3 linked regions of the Arabidopsis thaliana genome follow. The protein of the gene in region 2 binds, or shares a complex with, the protein of the main gene of each other region. Each region holds a gene or a part of one and is shown on either strand. Other genes may lie near its edges. The genes, in order: TOC33, TOC120 and TOC34.

The links.
Region 1: TOC120 (region 2) and TOC33 share a complex: the UniProt entries of both Arabidopsis thaliana proteins name them as parts of the TOC core complex.
Region 3: TOC120 (region 2) and TOC34 share a complex: the UniProt entries of both Arabidopsis thaliana proteins name them as parts of the TOC core complex.

Annotation. Positions count from the first base shown.
Region 1 is NC_003070.9:446,701-453,491, forward strand, and holds TOC33 (translocon at the outer envelope membrane of chloroplasts 33), read right to left. Parts: upstream 3,727-6,791; 5' UTR 3,661-3,726; intron 3,559-3,660; 5' UTR 3,547-3,558; coding exon 3,451-3,546; intron 3,347-3,450; coding exon 3,239-3,346; intron 3,139-3,238; coding exon 3,014-3,138; intron 2,790-3,013; coding exon 2,525-2,789; intron 2,424-2,524; coding exon 2,355-2,423; intron 2,274-2,354; coding exon 2,112-2,273; intron 2,034-2,111; coding exon 1,965-2,033; 3' UTR 1,723-1,964; downstream 1-1,722. Other genes in the region: AT1G02290 (uncharacterized protein), read right to left, coding at 3,946-5,277; AT1G02300 (Cysteine proteinases superfamily protein), read left to right, coding at 6,588-6,665. UniProt on the Arabidopsis thaliana protein: GTPase involved in protein precursor import into chloroplasts. Seems to recognize chloroplast-destined precursor proteins and regulate their presentation to the translocation channel through GTP hydrolysis. Binds GTP, GDP, XTP, but not ATP.
Region 2 is NC_003074.8:5,656,296-5,664,892, forward strand, and holds TOC120 (translocon outer complex protein 120), read right to left. Parts: upstream 5,772-8,597; 5' UTR 5,646-5,771; intron 5,472-5,645; 5' UTR 5,444-5,471; coding exon 2,174-5,443; 3' UTR 2,041-2,173; downstream 1-2,040. Other genes in the region: AT3G16610 (pentatricopeptide (PPR) repeat-containing protein), read right to left, coding at 76-2,040; KINESIN-13A (P-loop containing nucleoside triphosphate hydrolases superfamily protein), read right to left, coding at 6,365-6,547, 6,638-6,703, 6,815-7,385, 7,476-7,694, 7,887-8,216, 8,464-8,597. UniProt on the Arabidopsis thaliana protein: GTPase involved in protein precursor import into chloroplasts. Seems to recognize chloroplast-destined precursor proteins and regulate their presentation to the translocation channel through GTP hydrolysis.
Region 3 is NC_003076.8:1,471,873-1,478,881, forward strand, and holds TOC34 (translocon at the outer envelope membrane of chloroplasts 34), read right to left. Parts: upstream 4,563-7,009; 5' UTR 4,410-4,562; exon of another isoform or gene 3,917-4,409; 5' UTR 3,901-3,916; coding exon 3,799-3,900; intron 3,712-3,798; coding exon 3,604-3,711; intron 3,503-3,603; coding exon 3,378-3,502; intron 3,276-3,377; coding exon 3,011-3,275; intron 2,920-3,010; coding exon 2,851-2,919; intron 2,759-2,850; coding exon 2,597-2,758; intron 2,501-2,596; coding exon 2,390-2,500; 3' UTR 2,155-2,389; downstream 1-2,154. Other genes in the region: SUN1 (SAD1/UNC-84 domain protein 1), read right to left, coding at 1-152, 810-1,898; AT5G05010 (clathrin adaptor complexes medium subunit family protein), read left to right, coding at 5,265-5,267, 5,397-5,436, 5,525-5,748, 5,899-6,141, 6,218-6,389, 6,563-6,861, 6,986-7,009. UniProt on the Arabidopsis thaliana protein: GTPase involved in protein precursor import into chloroplasts. Seems to recognize chloroplast-destined precursor proteins and regulate their presentation to the translocation channel through GTP hydrolysis.

The sequences.
Region 1 (6,791 bases), on a different chromosome or scaffold from region 2:
ATAGGGATTCAAATTGCTTAACCACGTTGTATTCTTCTTCTTCTTCTTGTCCAACTTTTTCTACGAAATTATAGCAAATCAAATTCATGCTATTTATTGAACGCAAATGTTTAATTTTCAGACAAATCAGATTCTTACTTTTGCTGTTCAAACCCCAAAATTCAATGAAGAAATTTTATAATATTCATCAGATACTGAGCGGATTTTAAGCAAAAAACCAAGAGAAGTGATAGATACTGAGCGAGTTTGATATGAAGATTATCTTGGCCGGAGGTTGATTATCGTCTTTCCAACGAAGCAACTGCAACACCATTATATGGATATTTGGTGTCTCGTCATCAGAGTCGTGCCAATGAATTTTGATGCTATAAACAAAAAAATATAGTTTAATATTTTAATAAATAATGTAAACATAACAAAAAAATTATTTATTAAAATATACACATAACAAAGAAGACGGAAAGCTCCTCTCTCACAAGCCAGGCTATCTCGCCACCTGCTATACCTTTGAATATTTCAAAGGTCTTTTTTGAGAAGTATTTCAAAGGTCCGTCTTCTTGACACTACCGGCGACAAGAGACATTTTTACAACGAAAGAGTTCGATAATAGAAAGGTTAGTAAAAAAATAAAAATATTCTTTGTCGTAATTATTTCAAAGGTCATTTTTGAGAAGTCAATAAAACTATGTTTTGTTTTGTTAACAACATGCATTATACCGTTTGATTGATAACATAATAACGACACTAGCACATTTTACTAGTTTACACATTATAATCAACCTAATCGTTTTTGGTCATATTTTTGTTCTAAATTATTTATGTTTTGCTTAAAATTTGCTTAATTTATTATTAAACTTTAAATATTAATTATTTTTTTTGTTATGTTTATAATATTTATTAAAATATTAAATCATATTTTCGCGTATGGTATCAAATTTTTTTGGCACGTTCTGTTTGGATGTTATGTCACAAAAATTAAAAATTTAGTACTTACAAAAAAAACAAAACATGGTTGAAAAAATCTTTCAATCAATTACTAAAAAAAAAAGTAAATGAAGAAAGCAATACCTCATGCAGCAGCTTGTGATATGATCCAAAAACAAATCGGGACAGCTAAAGGTCTTGGCTGGTACAAGCAAAAACTCGGTCTCCTTGAGCCCATCCAGCTTCTTTCAGGTACTACAACATATTAAAAAGATTGCACATGTCAAAATGACTATTACCATATCCAAATTTCGATTGTTTCCTACTTTCCTTTTATCTTCAACAGTTGTTTCCTTTTTCTTATTTGAGAACGTTCGAGAAATCTGGACCGTCTATTTTCATCATATTGCAACTGTGAGATCTGATGGTGATTATCTAATCTAAACGGTAAGTTTGTTAGATTATGTGGGACCGGGACGATCTATTTCTTAAACCTCTGTTACAAACAAACACTCATGTCTATTAGTATTAGGAAATAAGAGATGGATATGATGATGATTCCGAACCAATTCTCAATAAACTGTTTATAATGGAACAGAAGCAGCAGTGATTGATGATCTAACAGACATTGACATCAGGCTACCAATGCTAGTCTTCCTGTGGGAGATAGAAGCGGCCTTGGTTATGCCGAGTTTTCTGTTGATCTGTGTTTATGTAATCACCCGAGGATGCAAACAATTAATCCCATCAGCTAAAAGACTTGTTTGATTCAAAACAGACTTTAGCAGATCATTTGTTTTTCTTATCTACAGAACATAATATATTCTTTTTTTGGTGATATTATGATTGGGAAACATCCATTTCATTTAACCAGAAAGCATGGCAATCTTTTCTTTGAACAAATCTCCATAAATTACAGACAAAGATAAAGCCGGAAACAAGAAAATGTTGCAGATAAAATCTAACAAAAGAAAGAACAATCGAAAAACTCTTCTTCTCCTTGTAATTTGCTCACAACAAAACCTCTTCTTCAGAGCCTCTTAAAGTGGCTTTCCACTTGTCTTGATATCATTTCTGATTGCTCCTTGAATCATCTTAACGATCAAATACTGCAAAGTAGAAGAAAGGATTTCACTTGTTTACCAAATTCGAACAAGACAATAAATCAAACTGTGTCTCTTTCTTACCTGAGCGCCTATGATAAGAGGGATGAGTTTCTTTCCTTTATCATCAGAGTAAGATCCATCTACCATCTTCTTGTCTACATGAATTGCTTTCCTCTGGTTTGTTGCTACATCAGTTATCGCCTTAACCAAGTTCGGGATCCACGCTTCACCATTTGGAAGAGCCTGAACCGAGAGCAGGTAAGCAACTTTTAACAGTCAGTCTCTCTCCAAGTCGGATCAAATCAGAGATTCGAAAACACAAACCTTTTCGTCCTTATCGTTCTTGCTGCATCTTCCGCTGTTCTCTGCATAGACTACCGCGATTGCAGAATCCTACAAGCCAGTAAAGAATGAAACTGATTCTTGCTACAATGAACCAAACATACATTGGTATAACAATTTTCGGAGACAGGTATATGTATAAATAACCATACCTCAAACTCTTGTTTTCGCATCTTAGAACCAGCCCGGATAGTTTTGAGGAGAGAATCTGATCTCTTGGAGGAAAAAGTTTCGTAGGAAAGTTCATCGGGAGGGGAAAATTGAGCATGAGTCAGAACAAGCAAGGTTTTGCACCATATCTCTTTTCCAAAGGTTTGGGTGATTGCTATAACAACTTGCTTATCTAGCTCATCGACTCTATACACATCCAAACGATCAACATAGAGCAAGACATCTATTGTTCTGTTCACAAGAAACCTGTCCAAAATCCGAGAAACACAACAACTATCGTAAAACTTCCACACACACTCCAATATACAGCTTCAGCGTAAACCAGATACTCATAATTCACAATTTCAACAGAAACCCACAAGTAAACATGTTAACCACATATATACTTAGCTTAATTAATTCAAAAACGAATGAGATAATCCTATATGCAACAATCAACGAAGAGATATTCCAAAAGAGTAGCTACTGACCCTTTGATTAACTCGAGAGCTTGGTGATTGACATATCCAGCTTCCACAAGTCCAGGGGTGTCAATAATGTTGATAGTGAACCCTCCCATTGTTCTTGAAACCATCACTGGTCTCAATCCTTCAGCCTACAAAATCAACAAAACAGAGCCATCAAATATCTTGAAATGACTACTCTTTCTTAATCCAAATTAAAAAAATCAAGCTTAGGGAAACTGAATTACGTACTTGGAAAGGACTGACACGGACGACTTGTTCGCCGATAAGAGAATTGACAGTGGATGATTTTCCGACACCGCCTTTACCCAGAACAAGAACTGTCATTGAGTTCATATCCTGCAATTACAAAAACCTCCCATCATTATCTCCTAATCACAACGGAGAATCCGAGAAACCGACTTAAGCACCAAAGAAACAGGAACAACAACAACAAAACACACCTTTTGCTTCAATTTTCCGAAGAATTCAATCAGCTTTTCCTGGGTAGCTGCTGGAAATTGCTGAAACCCAACCCATTCACGAACGAGAGACCCCATCACTCCTAAACCCTTCAGCAAAAAAATTCTTTTGGTAAATAATCGCTGAGTGATGACGATGATGATAATTAATTTCGAAAGCGATAACGTTTTGGGAGATTTGGAGGAGCTTACCGTTGTGTGAGGAGCGTTTGAGGTTTTTGGAAGAAGCTCTCTCGATGTGTTCCGCAGAGAAAAGCTAAAGAATGTGACCTTATCGGTAATTTGTTTAATAGTTCAAATTATTTTCACTTTTACTCCTCTATTTCTTTAGTGTTTCTTTTTAGTGCCTTCAAATTTTGAAAACTAACAAACTCAACCCCAAACCAAATCCAGTTACCAAGTTGCAGCATTACACTTCATATTTTCATGGAAGACTACATTAGGTGGAACATTGAATTAGCATAGCGTCACGGGAGCTCAAGCGATTCTCTGAACCTTTCTTCGCTTGTAAGTCAAGGAAAACAAATGGTCACTATTGGCTTCTCGAGCATGATTGTCTTCGCTCAGGACCCCCAGCGGTTTTCTCAGAGCCTTGGCTTCCCTCTGAAAGTTATTACTAGACGAAATCCTCTTGCTCTCTGTTGTTTCAGAGCCTCTGTCAACAGTCCTAGGCTTAAAACCAGGAGACTTCAGGTGGTACCGGACATATTCTTCTTGCTTTAGAGGTATATTCTGTTCTGTGATGGAGTAATTTGAAACACGGAGAGCACTGGGAACAGTGTGTGTTGGATCATGAAACACCGGTTCTGTACCTTGGATTGATCTTTGTGTAGTTTCCAAATAGGTTAAGAAAGGGTCTGGGATAGAACAGCCAAGAGTTCCGTAGGGTGGTTTCTCAAATGTCGTACCTAAGTATGGAGACGCTGCAAATCTAGTACTCTTTGAACCGGTTTCATGGATTTGCAGGAGATTGTTTCCTGGAGCTACATAGGGTTTCCTGAGGATGGCAGAAGAAGATTTAGGGACTAATTTGAGAACACCCTTTGGCAAAGTCTGATGATGATGGCCAGCAGAAACTAAGCTGGAACCTTGATACCGGAATACTCCTTCCTTGGTTATCTTTATCTTGAGACTGTTCTTGGAGCTGCCACTGCGAGGGAAGGTTAAACTTTTCGATCTATTTCTTTCCACGGGTTTCACTACATTGGGAGTTTTGAATCTACATGTAGCACTATCCATTTCCTTAGATGGAACTCTATTGAGGTCCAGTAGCTTGAGATTACCGGTTTGAGTTCGTCCTGACCAAATGAGGAGCCTTGAGTAATTGCCCAATTTATTTCCATACTGAACCCACACCCTTTGCATTTCGGTAAATGTCCTGATCAGCTTTTCATGATAGAACTTTAAAGAGTAGTAATACTTTCTCCTCTTGACAAACATAACACCTTCTTTGAAACAAGCTACCTTTGGAGTAAACAATCCACCTAGCAAATTCTTGTAAAACTTATCCTCTGGATTCCCAAAATATAAATTGGCACCATCAAGAAGTTCCTGCATCGTCAAACTGAAAGTCTGTGGATCCATATCTGGCAGAAAACATGAGAGGAAGAATCTTTCTTCTTCAGTCAGAAGTGAGTTCCAAGTCTCAACAGACAATATTCCCGTTAAATCTGGTAGATCGTAGAGCTCGTATGGTATGTTACAGAGCTGACCTTCAACCAAAGCTAGCTCACAGTTTACTTGCGCAATGTCGTAATCATCAGAGTCATCATCTTCAGAGTCTAGCCCAACTGTTTGATTCTTATTCATCTGTAGTTAACCACTTACTACCCTTAAAACACAAGTACTTCAAATCTCCAACCACAAACTCAGTAGAAAGGAACACAAGCAGGAGATACCTAGATAGAAAATGTTAAAGACTCATCATCAGCAATTCACATTACAAGAATTCTACTACAATACAATGGACAGCGAGAAGCTGAGTATGTTACTAATCAGAAATCAAACGAACATAAATAGCATTTTACTCACTGATTTCAGCAACAACAACACTAAAGGCTATATAAAACACGAAATATACATTGTGAGATCAATGAAGCACTCAAAAAGAAGAAGATACACAACACCAGAAAATCTCCCAGATCGGATCAGCTACAAAGCTTAAACGTAATCGATCGCGAACTCAATCAATAACCAAAATCAAAAGCTCCAACAAGGCAAATAACTAGAGAGCGAAAACCCTTGGATTTGACAACAAAAATGTGCAGACAATTTGAATAAAAAACAAGTATCATACAAATCTCAGCACAAATCAGCTCCAATGAGTTTCAAAAACCTACCGGAACTAATAAAAAAAAAGAATCTCGAGATATTCAGAGAAATCGATCGGAAAGCGTAAAAGACGAGGAGCTTACCGGCTCTAAAGACAGGTGAAATTAGCAGATTAGGGTCGAAGAAACCATATCCCTTTGGCTACAGATACGAACTTCATCGCCTTCAAAGATTCTCTGCTTCCTTTCTAGAGATTTCTATGGCTTTTCGATCGATGCGACAGTAGAGTAGAGACTAGAGAGACTAATTACTGTTACACTTGTATTTTGATTTCTTTAATTAAAGCCGCCTAAAGTAACTAATGCCTTGATTACTTTAATTAATAATCATTTTTAAATTGTGATTTATAATCAAGTTAGACATTACTTCACAAATAGTTTGGGCCTGGAAACGTATAGGCCCATGTAAACTTTAATAAAAGAATCACCTTGCAGGTAAGTATAATATCCTGATATTATTATTTACTTGATAGAATGGGCCTATAATAAAAGAAATCACCATTAAAGAATTATAGGCCCATGATATCAAGTAAATATCAAGAAATGATGATTAATGATCAAGTTAGACATCATTACTTGATATTTTGGTAAGTAGGATCAATCAACGGTCAGGATCCTTTTAGTAAAATCATGTGTCATTTTCAGTTTGTCTAAAAGATAAGCCTTTCACTTTCTCTCTCTGTCTTATTAGAAAAGAAAATTTGTACCGTTTCCAAAGTCTGAGCCAATCATTGTGTTGATTCTGGAATTCTTTGTGGGAACGAGAAATTTGTACAAGGGAGATTCATCATGGCTGATAGTTGTTGTATCAGACTTCACTTATTAGCCTCTGTTTTCTTGCTCTTATTTTCATCCTTCAACTTGCAGGTACTTTAAACTTTCGTAATCTGTGTGTTAAAATTGCTTACTAAGATCGATTTGTTGGACTCTTGAGCTACAAGTTAAAAAAAAACAAAATAAATCAAACTTTGTGATTTTTTTCTCTGCGTATCA
Region 2 (8,597 bases):
AGAGTAAGCAATTCTCTTTGCCTTCTCGATTACGTTTTTCTCTTCCACTGCAAAACCCTAATTTCATATCATTAATCAAACATCGACCCAGCTATAACCCGGAGTCTTGAGAAGCCCTCTTTTCTTCTGTATCATTCTAATTCTAGCTGCATCTTCCCATCTCTCAGCAGCTGAGTAGGTGTTGGATAGAAGAACTAAGCTTTCTGTTGTTTCACCAAGACTCTGCATCTTTTTCGACACTTCATTCCCAAGTTCCGCATTCTTGTACGTCCAACAAGCAGAGAGAAGTGTACCCAACACGCGAATATCGGGCTCAAATGGCATCTTGTTTACAAAATCATAAGCTTCATCCAAGTATCCGGCACGGGCTAGAAGATCAGTCATGCAATTGTAATGGTCTATTCTTGGGATGACGTTGAAATCTCCTCGAGACATGGAGTTGAACAGTTGTTTCCCTTCATCCACTAGTCCTGAATGGCTACAAGCAGACAAAATAGCAAGAAGAGTCACCTCGTCTGGGTTCACACCTGTTTCCTGCATACTGTTGAACAGAGAAAGAGCTTCTTTGCCAAGACCATGAATTCCGAATCCGAACAGCATTGTGTTCCACGAAACTATATCCCGCTTATGCATTGTGTCGAAAACTCTCTTGGCTACATCAAGTTTTCCACACTTTGTGTACATATCCATCAGTGCATTACAAATGCTTGTGTTAACTGCATAGCCATGAACAACACAATACCCGTGGCAACTAGAACCGTGTCCCAAAGCAGCCAAGTGAGAGCAAGCGGTTAAGACACCAAGCAATGTTGTAATATCAGGACGAATTCCAGATGTTCTCATCTCATGAAATAGACGAAAACTCTCTTCTGGGCGACAGTTCACTACACACCCAGTGATGAGAGAATTATATGAAATAACATCTTTCAAGCCAATCTCACTAAACTGCCTAAAAGCATCACATAAGCTTCCATACTTAGCATAAAATGAAATTATGGTGTTTTGAACAGTTAAGTCTAAGATGAAGCCTGCTTTAACCGCGTAACAATGTACACATCGCCCTCCACTTAGATCTCCAAACCTTGCACAACCCATCAGAATAAGCCCAATGGCAACTGGCGTCACCATTGCCACATTATCATTAACCAACATCTGAAAAAACACTTCTCCAGCTTCCTTTATCATTTCGTTTTCTACGTAGCCTCCAATCATAGCACTCCAGGTTACCTCATTCTTCTTAAAGTCTAAATCGAAAACTCTTCTCGCATAGATAATGCACTTGCTCTTGGCATATACATCCAAGATCCCAGTCTTAACAACTAAATCATTGCTAAAACCCATTCTTGTGCAATACCCATGAACAGCTTTCCCTTCCCTCAATGCACCAGCCCTTCCTAGTGCAGGAAACATCCCAACGATGGTGGATAGATTAGGACTCAGACCATCGATTCTACGCATATCCAAAAACAATCCAATGACATCAGTTAAACAGCAATGTAAAGAAAACCCAGAAATCATAGCATTCCAAGCAACCATATCTCTCTTAGGCATTTCGTCGAACACCTTTATAGCCATCTCAAGTTCCCCACACTTAGCATAGAAATCAACCAGAGCAGTACATACATACATATCAGTTGCAAAGTCGCTACAATTCACATGACTATGTATCAGCTTACCATCGTCAATTGCTCGAAGACCAGCACATGCTTTCAAAACAAACGGGTACGTATATTTCGTGGGTCTAACACCAGAATTCAGCATCTTGTAGTACAAATCCAAAGCTTTTTCCGCGAAATCATTCGAAGCATAGGCTCTGATCATCAAATCCCAAGCAATAGGATTGATCCTTGGATGAGGAATTTCATCGAACACATGGCGTGCAAGTTCCACTTCATTGCATGATGCGTAAAGACGTGTTAAATTGACGAGCACTGTAGAGGAACTTAACGTAAGAGAGCGTTTAAGAAGATGCTGATGAATGACCTGACCTAAGACCAGATTCCTTGAGCGAATACAGGTTTCAAGAAGACTTAGAAACATTGGGATAATGGATTTTAAGTTTCAGACATATGTTACAACCAAACATCAAAGACTTAAAACAAAAGTGAATTCCGACAACTAAAAAAAGAAAAACATGTTTCAAGAAAAAATCAAAACAGTTAAATGTTACTCATCAGTGTCCATATTGCATTTGCTCAGGGGAATAATAAGTAAGAAGCTTCTTGAACAGAGGAACAAGTGCAACCACAGCAAGTTGAAGCTGCTCAGAGCTGTTTACGCGGATGCTTACTTGCCCTGCTCCTCTGTTATTCAGATTAGCACGAGCAATGAGATTAGAGGAACGTCCAATGGGTACTTGAGACTGTATATTCCCTCCGATAGCAAGATCGCCATGCCAATCCATCACAGAGAGTCCAAGAGTTGATAAAAACCGACCAAGCGGATAATCTTTATCTCGAAACTGAGCTTCTAAAGTACCACCATAAGCAACATCTCCACGACTAGTCATTGCTCCACCTGACATAACCATCCTGAACCGTTTATTAGCAATCAACTTATCTTCGACTTTTAGTCCCGCGGAAACTGAATCACCTAAGAGCGTAACAGAGAGACCAGCTGCTGCTTTGTTTTTCCTAAACTTGTTAAATCTTGTTTCACTTCGAATAGTGTACGCTAATTCCTTCCCAGCATTTTGCATGTCAAAACCTAGGGAAGTTGATCTACCTTCTCCATGTTTAACCGAGCTGGCCAATTCTAGCTGCACATGTGCATCCTTCTTGTCCTTTGTCACTTGGCCAGAGAAAGATACTGGTATTTTGTCTTTAACAACAAATAGTCGTTCCGCATTCACACCTTCATAACCAATATCATGATCCCACCCATGAGTTTCCAGCACTGGCCTAACAAGCCATTGATTGGAGGTATCAAGGTACCGGTACCGATGAGTAGGATTGTCAGAGTCAAAAGATGCAGGTAGAGATAAATCTGGCATTGGAACTGGAACAGATGCAGGTTCACTTCTCTCCTCTTCCACATTTTCACTATACCCGTTAGGCATATCTTTAATCTCAGCAGCAAATTTCTTCAACAACTTACGTCTCTTTCTTTCCTCTTTCATCTGTCTCTTCATAAATAGTTTCTCCCGATACTCCATCTCATCGAGATATTCCTTCTTCTGAGATTTGCTAAGCTTAGTCATCTCTGCTTTAGTCAACCGCTTAAAGGGAGGAAGCTCATCATACTCTGATTCTTCCTCAGAATCTGATGATTCGTCTAAATCATCTTCATCGTCTTCATCATCGTACTGTTGCTCAGGAAGCTTAGCTTGTGGTCTTGATTGCAGAAGCGATGAGAGGAGCAATGGTAGTGGCGGAGCCTTGGACCGAGTTGCAAATTGTCCCCCTGGAATATTATCTTGTAATTTCAGAAGAGCATTTGCTTCGGCAAGAATCTTGGATGCAAATGAGAGTAATAACAAATGAGGCTTCCACACTTGGCCATTAGGTAATACTCTCTGGCCTGCCCGATTTGTCCTGCAAGCAGAGTGGTTCTCAACTAAAGAAACAGGGTTCATGAGCCTCATATCTCCCGCTGCTTGGCGAATGGCCTGCTGGATGACATGAGAACGTTGTGTCACAAACATGTCATAGCTAGAAGCAGTACCATTTGGGCCATCTGGTGGAGCCGAAGCGGCATGAGTCAAACCCACAATGGCATTAAACCATATTGATGGTCCAAAAACATCAGTGATGGTGCGTAAGAGAGGCATGTCACCAGAATCTCTGCTTTGCATATCCAACCTATCAAGATATAACACAATGTCAGGCGGACTTTTCTTGATGAATGCCCTAACAGACTTCAGGATCTTCTCATTCTTGTGTTGATCTGACCAGGATGGTAAGAGACCGGGAGTGTCAATTACCCGTACCTTAATTCCCTGAACAAAACCCTCAATATCCTGAACCTTCTTTGTCCCCACCTGGAATGCATCAGTACTAATTTTCAGTTCATCAAAAATAGAATTGATGGTTGCACTTTTACCAACCCCACTTTTACCAAGCACCATAATCGTACAAGAAAAATCAAGGGGATCTTGTGCAGCTGCCTCAAGCTGTTCTGCCATGGCACTGGCACGATCAAAACTAAAGGCACCAACACGGCTTCCGTTTCTGCCCCTCAACTGTTCAGCCAATCCAAGCCTGTACAAAACCTGAGCAACAACAACATTATGTGGAGTTTGCCCTAATCTATGTGAAAGCCTCAAAAATTTGACCCTGATAAACTGGAGCTTCTCACGGGTCTCATCATGCTCATCTGTCTCTGCAGTGGTAGAGTCTTCAGCTTGCTGAGGCTGATTGTGAGACACATTTCCATTGACACGAGGCTGTTGTGTAACGCGTGGTGCAGGTTCCAAAAGTGGAGCAGCACGACCAAGACCTGCTGGGCGAGCAGGTGGTAATGCTGCAGTATCACTTCTAGACTCTGTTGGTGAAACAGAACTTAATACCTCAGATTCTCTTTCCATATGTTGGCTTTCCTTAATCTCTGGACCTATATTTACACTGCTATCTTGCTGCTTTACAATTTCCTTATTAGATTGAATATCATGTCCTCCATTACTGTTTTGACTTTCAGTCTCTCCCTTCTCCTCCGAACTAGATTTTTCCAATGGAGATAAGGTCCCAGCTGCTACTTCAATACTATCATTCAAGGATTTGTCACCTGAAACAATTTTAACACTATTGAACTCAGCACCAGTCTTACCATTTCTTTGTTCTGTTACCATGCCAGCTGATACATCAATTTCTTCCTCCCATTTTTCGTCGTCAATACCATTACTCCCTGTTTCCACGGAACAGGCACTTACTGAGATAACTTCCGCCACCAGTTCTTTATTCTCATCAGGAGAGACTACTCCATTTTCTGAAGAAGAATGTGTATTTCCGTTTTCCAAATTCACATCCTCAGTAGCTAAATTGGAAGTAGCTTTCTCACTGTTCTCAACCACATCCAAGCTTGATGCCATTTTACCATAAGAAATATCTGCATCTGCTACTTCCCCGTGATCATAATCATTCATTTTGAGAGTCACCAAATCAGAATCAGCCTCTTTCGTAGTTATACATTGCTCGTTAACCTCACCATGGCTCTCTCCAATCTCCGAATAATTAACCTTTAAATTTTCTACTCCTCTCTCATTTCTACTTGTTTCTTCCAAATCACACACTTCATCATTGGAAGCTAAAGGAAAATCCTCTTGCAACACATCGGTTTTGAGAGATTCAGGTTTTAGACCCTCCTGCGAACCAATTGCTTCCTCAAAGACCTCTTCTTCATTATCCTTCACTTCATCAGATCCCACCAACTCACTAATTCTACCATCCTCTGCAAGCTTCTTCTCATCCCCATATAACCTGGTTACAATCTCAGCCCCATCTCCCATTTCTAGGATCACCCAAAATCACGAAACACTGCACCAACCAAATTTTGTATCCTCGTTACTTTTAAATCCACAAGACACTAAATTAAATGGGAGTGAAACTAATATTTTCCAAATCGTAGGTATATTTTGCTCATAGGAATTCAGAAAATACAAAGAAGAATCTATTGATATTGAGGAGAAAAAGTGATGGCGAGAATCTAACCTGGTTAGAGAAGGCAAAAGTCTGGAAAGAAAAAAAAACAACTTCATGCGCTTTTTTTGTATTTGTATAAATCGCCTTTTACTCGCCTGCGACAGTGCGACTACGACGGGAAGGAGAAGGAGATAAGCGACTTTCATGGACGGTTTAAATCGGTTTGGGTTTTAACATCGGACGGTGGAAAATGGCTCTTATATTGCAATCGTGAAAAAGGCATGTCACGTGATCAATAGTAAAGTGTGGGCCAAGGCCTTTTTAGTTGGGCTGCATAATCTTGTTGGCCATTTTATCTTTACGACAAGAGAGAATTGCTTTATTTGTTCTTTTGGAGCTATTCAACTGTCTTTTCATTGGTTGTCACTATATAGATGGTATTTGAAGATCTTATTAATTGTTAGAAATTTGATTTTATATATGGCTCACCAAATTTTGAAACATTTTCAGATGATAAATGGTTTTATACTTTTTCAGTTGATTGATAAAAGAGTTTGATTCACATTGACAGTATCCAGCTTTCTGGGAGGATAGAGGAGAAGAGAAAAATAAGAAACACAAAAGGTATAACTTTATAATAAAGATTCAAAAATAAAAGGAAAGAAATGCCCAAATTCACAAACATGAAGGACATTTCTGTCATTCTTTGTCATATATAAGAAGAGATCACCCAACCAACCTTTCACACTTAAACAACACCACACTTTTGGTTTTCCTTCTTCTACCAACTACCGAGGAACTCTCTTACGGCTCAGTATTTCTTGTTCCTTGAGACGGTGTTGGAACCGAGCAAGCCTGGCTTGAAGACTGACTAGCCCTGCTGCTTTCCGGGACAACACAAAGCTCAGTTGCGTCACATAGTTTTCTATCATGCTTCCCGGTTGGTCCACCTCCGCTAGAAGTTTCATTTCCTGATAATGATATAACAGAAAAGAAAATTGAATGATGTGATAACATTCTACAATCGTTTTTTGTGCGCTGCAATGATGTGATTTACATACCTCGCGAACAATCTCCATTGTATCCTCAATTTCTTTTCTGTGCGCTGCAATCAGAGCTTCTTCTTCCTGAAAAAAGTCATGTGATGGTTACGATAAGACATAAACAGAACTACCGTTACTTGCAAATCAAATTCACAGCTTCATCTCATGTTTTAAAGGGATAGGTGAGTACTTTACCTCAAGCAGTGCATCGAGGTTTTCATCAAGCGAAGGGTCGGTTTCATATTGCCTTGAAGCGGTTTCATATTGCCTTGAAGCAGTTTCACTTGCGTTCTGTCTAAAATTTGTCAAGGTAGGGATATCCGACGAACTGACATCTCTTTTAGACCAATTTTGTGGTCTGTCTGGTTTTTCTTCCCGCAACCCTTTCCCACGAGGTGGTGACACTTTCTTTACTTTCTCTTCACGGTCTGAAGTTTCTTGGGGATATGAAGAAATGTTGTTTCTCTGACTAGTGGAGCCAGCAAAAGAACTGTTCGGCTCTGATCTTCCCTTGTCCATTGAGAATGATGGGATTCCACTTTCCTCTCGATAATTTGTAGGCTGTCTGAAGTCAATACCCGACGTACTGCTGTTGCTGTCCTTCTCGACCACCCTCCTCCTGGTTTCTGGTACATTCACTTCCTGTGGAGGCTCAAAGACATCTTCTACATCATTTGGGCCCAACAAAGGATCCTTATTAACCGGAGGCATTGAATTCGCAGTTTGATCTTTCTTGCTATTTCCACTTTTAGATAGACTTTTGACTCTGTTTATTCCATACATAACCAACAGAGGTTAATAGACGATGAAATTGAGAATTTGTTTCACAAGAGGCTATAGTTTGTACAAAACATACCGATCAGCATATCTTAGAGTATTGAGGGTATGTTCACACGATCCTGCATTTGGAGAGATGCAGGAAATCATCACCGTTCTTGAGTTTCCAACAAATGAGTCACGGAGCACTTCCGTTAGTTTGCTTCCACGAAATGGTATATGTAGCTGGTCATTGTCCAGTGCACGTATACATTCCTTAAGAGCCAAGAGACTCTTGTTGATTTCTGCGCCTTCAATCCTAAGAAAAATCCACAATGAAAACAATGAAGCATTTAGATCTGAAGTGTGGTGGTCCTAAAGTAAAAAGGTAGCAGCAAAGTGCCACTTTATCAATGCCCACAAGTCCAACAGAGGCATAAATTTTAATCTACACATTAGTGGTAGGTCAATTCTCAAACTACTCAATCACAGGGGCAAAGAGAATCTTTACCTTGTCTGGCGATCATTGTCTGTGGTGTCTGCACCTCTTTCACTGCCAGCAAGGTCAATGAAAGAAATCTTTCCCACAACTTTCCCAGGCAATTCATTACTATCATTATTCCTCCGTCTAGTGTCTTTTACCTCAACATGCTTTTTTACAACAAGCTGTAGGATGGCATGCGATCTAGAAGATTCCTCATTTGCTCCAGTTGAACCTGTGCTCCTTTCGGCATTTCCTTTCTCGATAAAATCCTTTACAATTTGTACATCTGAAACTTCATATTCTTGCAGGCCAACAATGCAAACTTGCTGTCTACCATCTTCTCGCATGCAAAGTTTCCTACTCGGCAATAACTGAATGATTTAGACAATGGTAAACATGCATTTGCGATAGTAGTAGACAACAATGGAAAGTATTGACACTGATAGGATGAATAAGTGCCAATGTTTACGATATACTGACATCGAAATAACAATTATAAGCTAGTATATGCCTGAACAAAGTATATGCCAAAAGAAAAGGAAAACATAAAACCCCTCAACAAAGACGACATTTATAAGAAATGAGAAAAAGAAAGAACACTAACTTTCTCTCACTGAGAAGATCGAACAGCTTTCCACCATATATCTCAAAATAGCTGAGCCACAATTTAAACCTCTGATTGCTGTATACTGGTTGACGCAACAACCTCATAAGATCTTCAACTGCTCGTATAGGTAA
Region 3 (7,009 bases), on a different chromosome or scaffold from region 2:
ATGTTGAATGTTTGTGCGTTCGACCTGTCTAGGTCGTAAGTGAACTCTGTTAGAAGTTGCATGTTCTCTGTCTCCGCTGAGGATTCCGGTCCTTGCAGGGATCCTGATACACGGCAATCTTTTGGAGCACTCGATCTGTCGTAGGCTACACTCTGTTCATTTTCACAATGCATCAATCCATCAGGTCAGTGTACATATATAATCCCCAAAATAAGAATGACCCAAAAATGTCCAGAGACAGTAAGTAATGAGCGTATCCAAATGTCTTCTTTATTTCATTTTACTCGGTTATTGTCATTGAAATAACCCCAAACAAACAAAATAGTCTAGTTCCAGTCGTTGCAAATAGAAACAGAAGATAACCCAAAACCCTCAAAGGATCTATTTATGCATACTATTGAACTCTTTGACAAAGGTTTGAGATACTTCGATAGAGTGGTATTGTGTAATCAATTTCAAAAGATAATGCCAGAAAAAAACAGATCTTAAACAAACTCCTAAAGGTCAATGGCATATGGCACACACAGAATTGGAGAACTATGACGAGACCTACTGGATGATGACGAAACTTATTAAGTAACCATAATCCTCTTCAGTTCAGATCTTTTGCAGCAACCGATCTAAACTAATCTCAAGCCTCATTCAAACAATTTCATGCCATCAACAGTCACAAAGAAAATGGCGTCATTTTTTCCAGGCATCTCAATATCAAACCATTGTAAATGCAAACACCAAAGGTAGTAATAAGAGCACACAAGAAAGAAAACTGATACCAACACAAATAGTTTGCAGTACAAGAGTATCATTACCTTAGCTACATGCTCCAATGTGAAAGCCTCTGGTATGATTGGTCCTCTCAGCCTGATTTGCACATAGCCCTCGCTACCTTTCAGAGGAAAACATTGTCCAGGCTCACCGAAGCTCGGAGATAACATCTTAACCGCATTCGTATGAGCGCGCCGCATGGTAGTCGCAAACCAGCTACTCCCTTTACCAACAAGATAAGGATCTGAATGCTCCATCACAAAAGCACCACCAGAAGCCAATGCATAATCAACTCGGCCAAGGCCATCAGCAGCATGCTTTTCAATCTCTTTCTCCATAATATCACGAGCATAAGCCCTCAATTCATCAATGCTAATCTCACTAAAAGCAGAATCATCAACATTCCCCTTCTTCAGTTCCTCATAAATCCTCTCTAACTCATCTTTCGTCACCCAAGGTTTAGCATTTACTTCATCTACAGACTTCTCTAGTGACTCAGTTCTAGATTCTATCTTCTTCAACTCACTCTGAAATGCAGAAGCTTTCCTCTCGATTTCTTGCCTAAGCACTTTTGCTTCCCTCTCCATTTTCTTATCAAGCAATTCAACTTGAACCTGCATCGAATTCGTCGTAGCCTTAACAAGACCATCTACTTCCGCAATTCGGCTTTCCAATCCCGAAAACGCCATCTCCGTTTCATAAGAAGAAATCGGAGAGGACGGAGAAGAAGCCTTGAGAATCATCTTCCTCGTCAATTGAATTAACCCAACAATGATCAAAAGCGCACCAAGCTGCTTCGCAAATATCCTCACCACTGTCTTCCACCGCGCTTTCTCAGACTTAGGAGTCGCAACCTTCCGCGTCCGGCGCTGCGTAGCGGTGGTATTAGTCCCCGTCGCAGCGGAAACAGACCTTCTCGTCACAGGACCCAAATCTTGTCCCTGAGATCGATCAAGGGTAGCTTCACCGCGGCTCAGATCTCTACTCGTACCACCGGCTTCCCCAACACCACCGTTCGCAAGCGATTCGCTTTGAGGGTAATCAAAGTTTGATTTTTTCTCTCCGGCAAGAATCGGCGTCCGTCTAGTCGCTGCCGCCGTATTAGCGGTGATCGACACCGTTGATGCCGACATTTGATCTGGTTTGACTACACAATCGCACCCCTCGGATAAAAAACAAATCTTTACACTAATGTCGAAATCAGAACCCTAAATTCACTAGAGAGAGTTGGAAAATTCGAAAACTTTGTTCGAAATTGAGGAAAGAGTAAACGATCTTCTCTGAACCGTCTTCTCCGTTTGCCAAATTCCTCCTTTAAACATCGGTTTTTTTTTTCTTTAACTCAAATTTTTATTTTATTTCAAAACTTGCATCGCGTCAAAAATAACTGCAGCGGTTACTTTTACCATTAATGACAAAATGGAATTATCTCTTCTAATCATTTTCACCAAGAGAGTAGCTCTTAATTACGATTTACGAGAGGCTAAAGAAGATGTAATTAAGATGAGAGAACTTTGCGACAGTAATTATCTGTGAACCACATTTCTCGAGTTGTATCACAATTTCAACTACAGAACAATCTCTCAGATAGACAAACAAACCAAACAAAACTCGTGTCCACAACTCAAGACCTTCGACTTGCTAAACCGGAGTCTCGCAGCTCCCACGCCGGTTTACTCTCTCTCGAAACATCGGACTTGATTGCTCGAACCAATGGCTTCATCACCAGCAAGTACTGCATTTTCAAACCATCAAAAGATGAATAAATGATGCATGATGTTTTGATCAAGCCTTATTCTGTATTGTTACTGAATGGTTCAGAGGGGCTTACTTGGAATGCAAACATTAAAGGAATCAGTTTTTTTCCTCTTTCGTTTGGGTTTGGCCCTTCGACCAGTTTCTTGTCAACATGAATCGCCTTGTTGCCATTAAAAGAGATCTCTGTGATTTTGTTGAACAGATTGGGAATCCAACTAGTCCCGCATGGAAGAATCTGTCACAAATTTGGAAAATCCGACTTCAAGATTGGTCCAACTACTACAAGACGCGAGAAAAAGAGAACGTGGACAAAACCAATCAACTGACCTTTTCATCGCTTTCGTTCTTATGGCATCTTCCGCTGTTCTCAACAAGAATGACAGGAATAGAAAAACCCTACAATAAAAGATCAGAGGTAAGTGAGTCTATTAACTTGACTACTATCAAGGTCGTTACAGACATTTATGTAAGGAGGAAAAAACTATACCTGCAAATCCTGTTTCTTCAGTTGAGCGCCTGTCTGGATAACTTTTAGAAGAGCATTAGATCTTTTGGAGACAAAGTGGTTATAATTTAACCCGTCTGGTGGAGAGAACTGAGCATGGGTGAGAACAAGAGCAGACTTCTTCCATATCTCTTTACCAAATGCATCAGTTATAGCACCGACAACTTGCCTATCAAGGTCATCCACCCGGTACACATCCAAACGGTCTACGTATAGTAGCACATCTATAGTCATGTTGAGGAGAAATCTGTTCAAATTCAACATCCACGAATCCAAATTAATACAAATGCCACAAATGAGCCCCAAATTAGGAGAGTAACTCCTTAGACCTGGAAACAGTTCATCATACCGTTTTATAATGTTGATGGCTTGATCATTCACATATCCTCCCTCAATAAGACCAGGAGTGTCGATGATATTCAATGTAAATCCCGATCTTGTGCGAGAGACCAAGGTAGGCCTCAGTCCTTCAGACTATAAAGAGGGAAAATCACACACTTTCTATGAGAAAAATTAAAAGAAAGATAGCCAATAGTCATAAAGACAAGCCATGAGAAGAGCATTAAACTTGGCACCTGGAAAGTACTAACTGCAGCAGCTTTCTCGCCTATAACTGAATTCACAGTTGATGACTTTCCAACACCACCTTTCCCCATTACAAGGACCGTTAGCGAGCTCACATCCTACACCAGTTTTTTTTCTTTCTTAAATCTCTCTAAGACAAGAAGAAACAAACAGAAAGCAGATGAAGCTAGAAACAAGAAAGGAACCTCTTCTTTATACTTCCCAAGGATCTCGAGCAATTTAGATTGAGTAGCAGGTGGGAACTGCTGGATACCGATCCATTCACGAAGCGTTTGCAAAGCTGCCATGGACACAAATCCTTACCTACACTTCCAAGGAAAGCAAAAAAGGATCACAAAAGAGAAGACTAAATCATCTGCTAAGAAACTAAACAATCAGAAGACCAAAGAACAAAAATGAGTAATCGCCCATAAAAGAAAAAGTTGTCTGATTCCACTATCTGAATCAATCCTATAACTTTCTAGCAATTAAAGTCTCAGAAAATTAAAAAGAAGATAACTTTTTTTTACTAAGAACAAAAACCCTTAAAATCCATCTTCATTTGCCGTTGTCTCCATTAGTTTCTTTTTTCCAGATCTTTAAATGAAAATAATCTCATTGCTTTAGAAACGAACATGGCGCAAGTGGGCATACCAAAAACTAATAACTTAAGCACTAAACTAATCAAGTATTGAGAGATAATCAGAATCCTAAATCCTGAACTGGGGTCAAATGCCAATTTATCAAATGAGCATACTTCTAAGTGGACGAAGTGAAAACCAGATAAAGAAAGAAAACGAGAGAGAGAGTAACCTACCTGAGCTAGAGTTACTAGTGGCGGATATTCGTCGCCGGATTCGCTGACCTCGTATCAAATTAAAACCCTAGAACTGAAATTGACTTTTGAAGATGATTGATTGCTACAAATCTCAATACATGAAAGTACATTCCTTTCAAAATTCAACCGGACTAAACCGAATGTCGTCGGTCTGCACCAATGACGAATTTGCCCTTTTGGCATTTTTTCTTCCATTTACTGGGTTGGAAAGCCCAATAAGGAACTGAAACGGCCCAGATTACTTGTCCTTGTTTTGTGGATCGTCTTTTCTCTAACACACACACCAGGATTTAATCTGAGACTCGTTTCATCTTTTTTACTCGGCGAGCTTGTGAAGAAGAAACTGGTGATTTCATCTCCTTCGATCACTCCCAAGGTATCGTCTTGTTCTCTCGCTCTTCGCCTTCACTGATGGTGATGATTTTCGTTTTCCTTTGAATGAATGTTCTCTCTGGCTACATTTCTGTGGATCTCCATTATTAAGAATTTTCTCCTCCTTCTAAATTTCGCGATCCTGTTTCATGAATTTGATCCGCTTGTGTTGATTTTGATTCTACAGTTATGTTTTTCGATTATGAGCCTCTGATGCTCGTAGATCCGCTGGATCTGCGATGAATTCTTTTTATATTTTCGATTCGCTAGTCTAGTTTCGTTTGGATTCGTGTATTCGAGATCTCTTCCTCTATTACGTGATTTATGATCCTGAAGATCAAATCCCGTTTGTTTCTTCTGATCTCGCTCTAACTGGATTTACTCTAACATTGGTTCTTTGTATTTCAGATTCGCATTACCTTTCTTATAATCGCCGAGATTGTTCGAGCCTGAATAATCAAAATGGTATTGACTTTTGTTCTATGATTGGTTTTTTTCTTTTTCCTTTTTAGTGCATCTTCGCAATTTGGTGTTAACTTTAGTGTTTGATGAGTGTCTGGCGCGTTTTCTAAAGTTGGAACCTGTGCTTTATAGGTTGTGCTTGCTGCTGCCATTGTGGTCAAGTCTGGGAAAGGTTATTTTCATCTATCTTTGACTTTGTCTTCGAATTCTCGTTTTTCAATATTTTTGCGTTTTTTCTAACTTTCTTCTTTTTTATGTAGTGATTGTTTCCAGACACTATGTGGATATGTCCCGTATCAGAATCGAAGGTCTACTTGCAGCTTTTCCTAAGCTGGTTGGAATGGGAAAGCAGCATACCTATATCGAGACGGAGAATGTGCGATATGTTTATCAGCCTATTGAAGCTCTGTTCCTGCTTCTTGTTACAACTAAGCAGAGTAACATTCTAGAAGACCTGGCCACCCTTACTTTGCTCTCCAAACTTGTATGCTTCTTTCTTTCTTTCTTTCTTTTTTTTTTACTTCTGCTACTTTATTTGAGGAGATTATTGCCTTGACTCTGGATGTGTACTGGTTCTTAGTTCTTTTGAAAAGTGAGTGTTCCAAGTGCTGTTTGATCATTTGATTGTTTCTAGGTACCTGAGTATTCCATGTCTTTAGATGAAGAAGGGATTTCCAGGGCATCTTTTGAGCTCATATTTGCATTTGATGAAGTCATATCTCTTGGGCACAAGGAAAGTGTGACAGTTGCCCAGGTGAAGCAGTATTGTGAAATGGAAAGTCATGAGGAGAAGTTGCATAAACTGGTTATGCAGAGCAAGATCAATGACACTAAGGACGTGATGAAGCGTAAGGCTAATGAGATTGACAAAAGCAAGGTACATGACAGGAGCGCACCCTGCTGTTGTATTCTATTTCTGTAACTCCTATTAATATTTCTTATGTAATTCCTAGATTGAAAAGAATAAGCCAGGAGGATTTTCGTCCATGGGTTCAATGGGATCTGGAAGACTTGAAAGTGGTTTCAATGAATTGAGCATATCCAGTGGTGGCGGCGGTGGTTATGGAAGTGGTTCTGGGTTTGGCATGATTTCAGATGTCGACCCTATCAATACCAAACCAAAAGGTTAGTGTGCTTTAACTAGTGGATCATTCACAAATGACCGTTCAATCCCAAGTATTCAAATCAAAATGCCCTTCCATCTCGGGTTTCTTAAGCGCCTCTATATATATATACTTGATTTCGATTAGATAATCTCTTTGTTTTGAAATTCTTATCCACCGTGCTTAACTTCACAGATCGATCACGGTCTTCTGTTACTGCTCCTCCTAAGAGTTCTGGCATGAAACTTGGCAAGTCGGGAAAGAACCAGTTAATGGAGTCCCTTAAAGCAGAAGGTGAAGACGTCATTGAAGATGTTAAGCCTACTGGCCAATCCAAAGCAGCTGCCCCACCTCCAACTGATCCTTTCACATTAACTGTTGAAGAGAAGCTCAATGTTGCATTGAGACGAGATGGTGGACTTAGTAGCTTTGATATGCAGGGAACCCTGTCACTTCAAATTCTTAACCAAGAAGATGGATTTGTCCAAGTCCAGGTACTCCAACGTTCTTTCTTAACTATTTCCAAGAGCTTCCTATGCATTTTACAGTTTTCTTGAATTCATCACTTTCTGTATTTTATCTTTGTATGAATACATCTATGTTTTACTTTGTCTTCAGATTGCAACCGGTGAAAATCCCGAA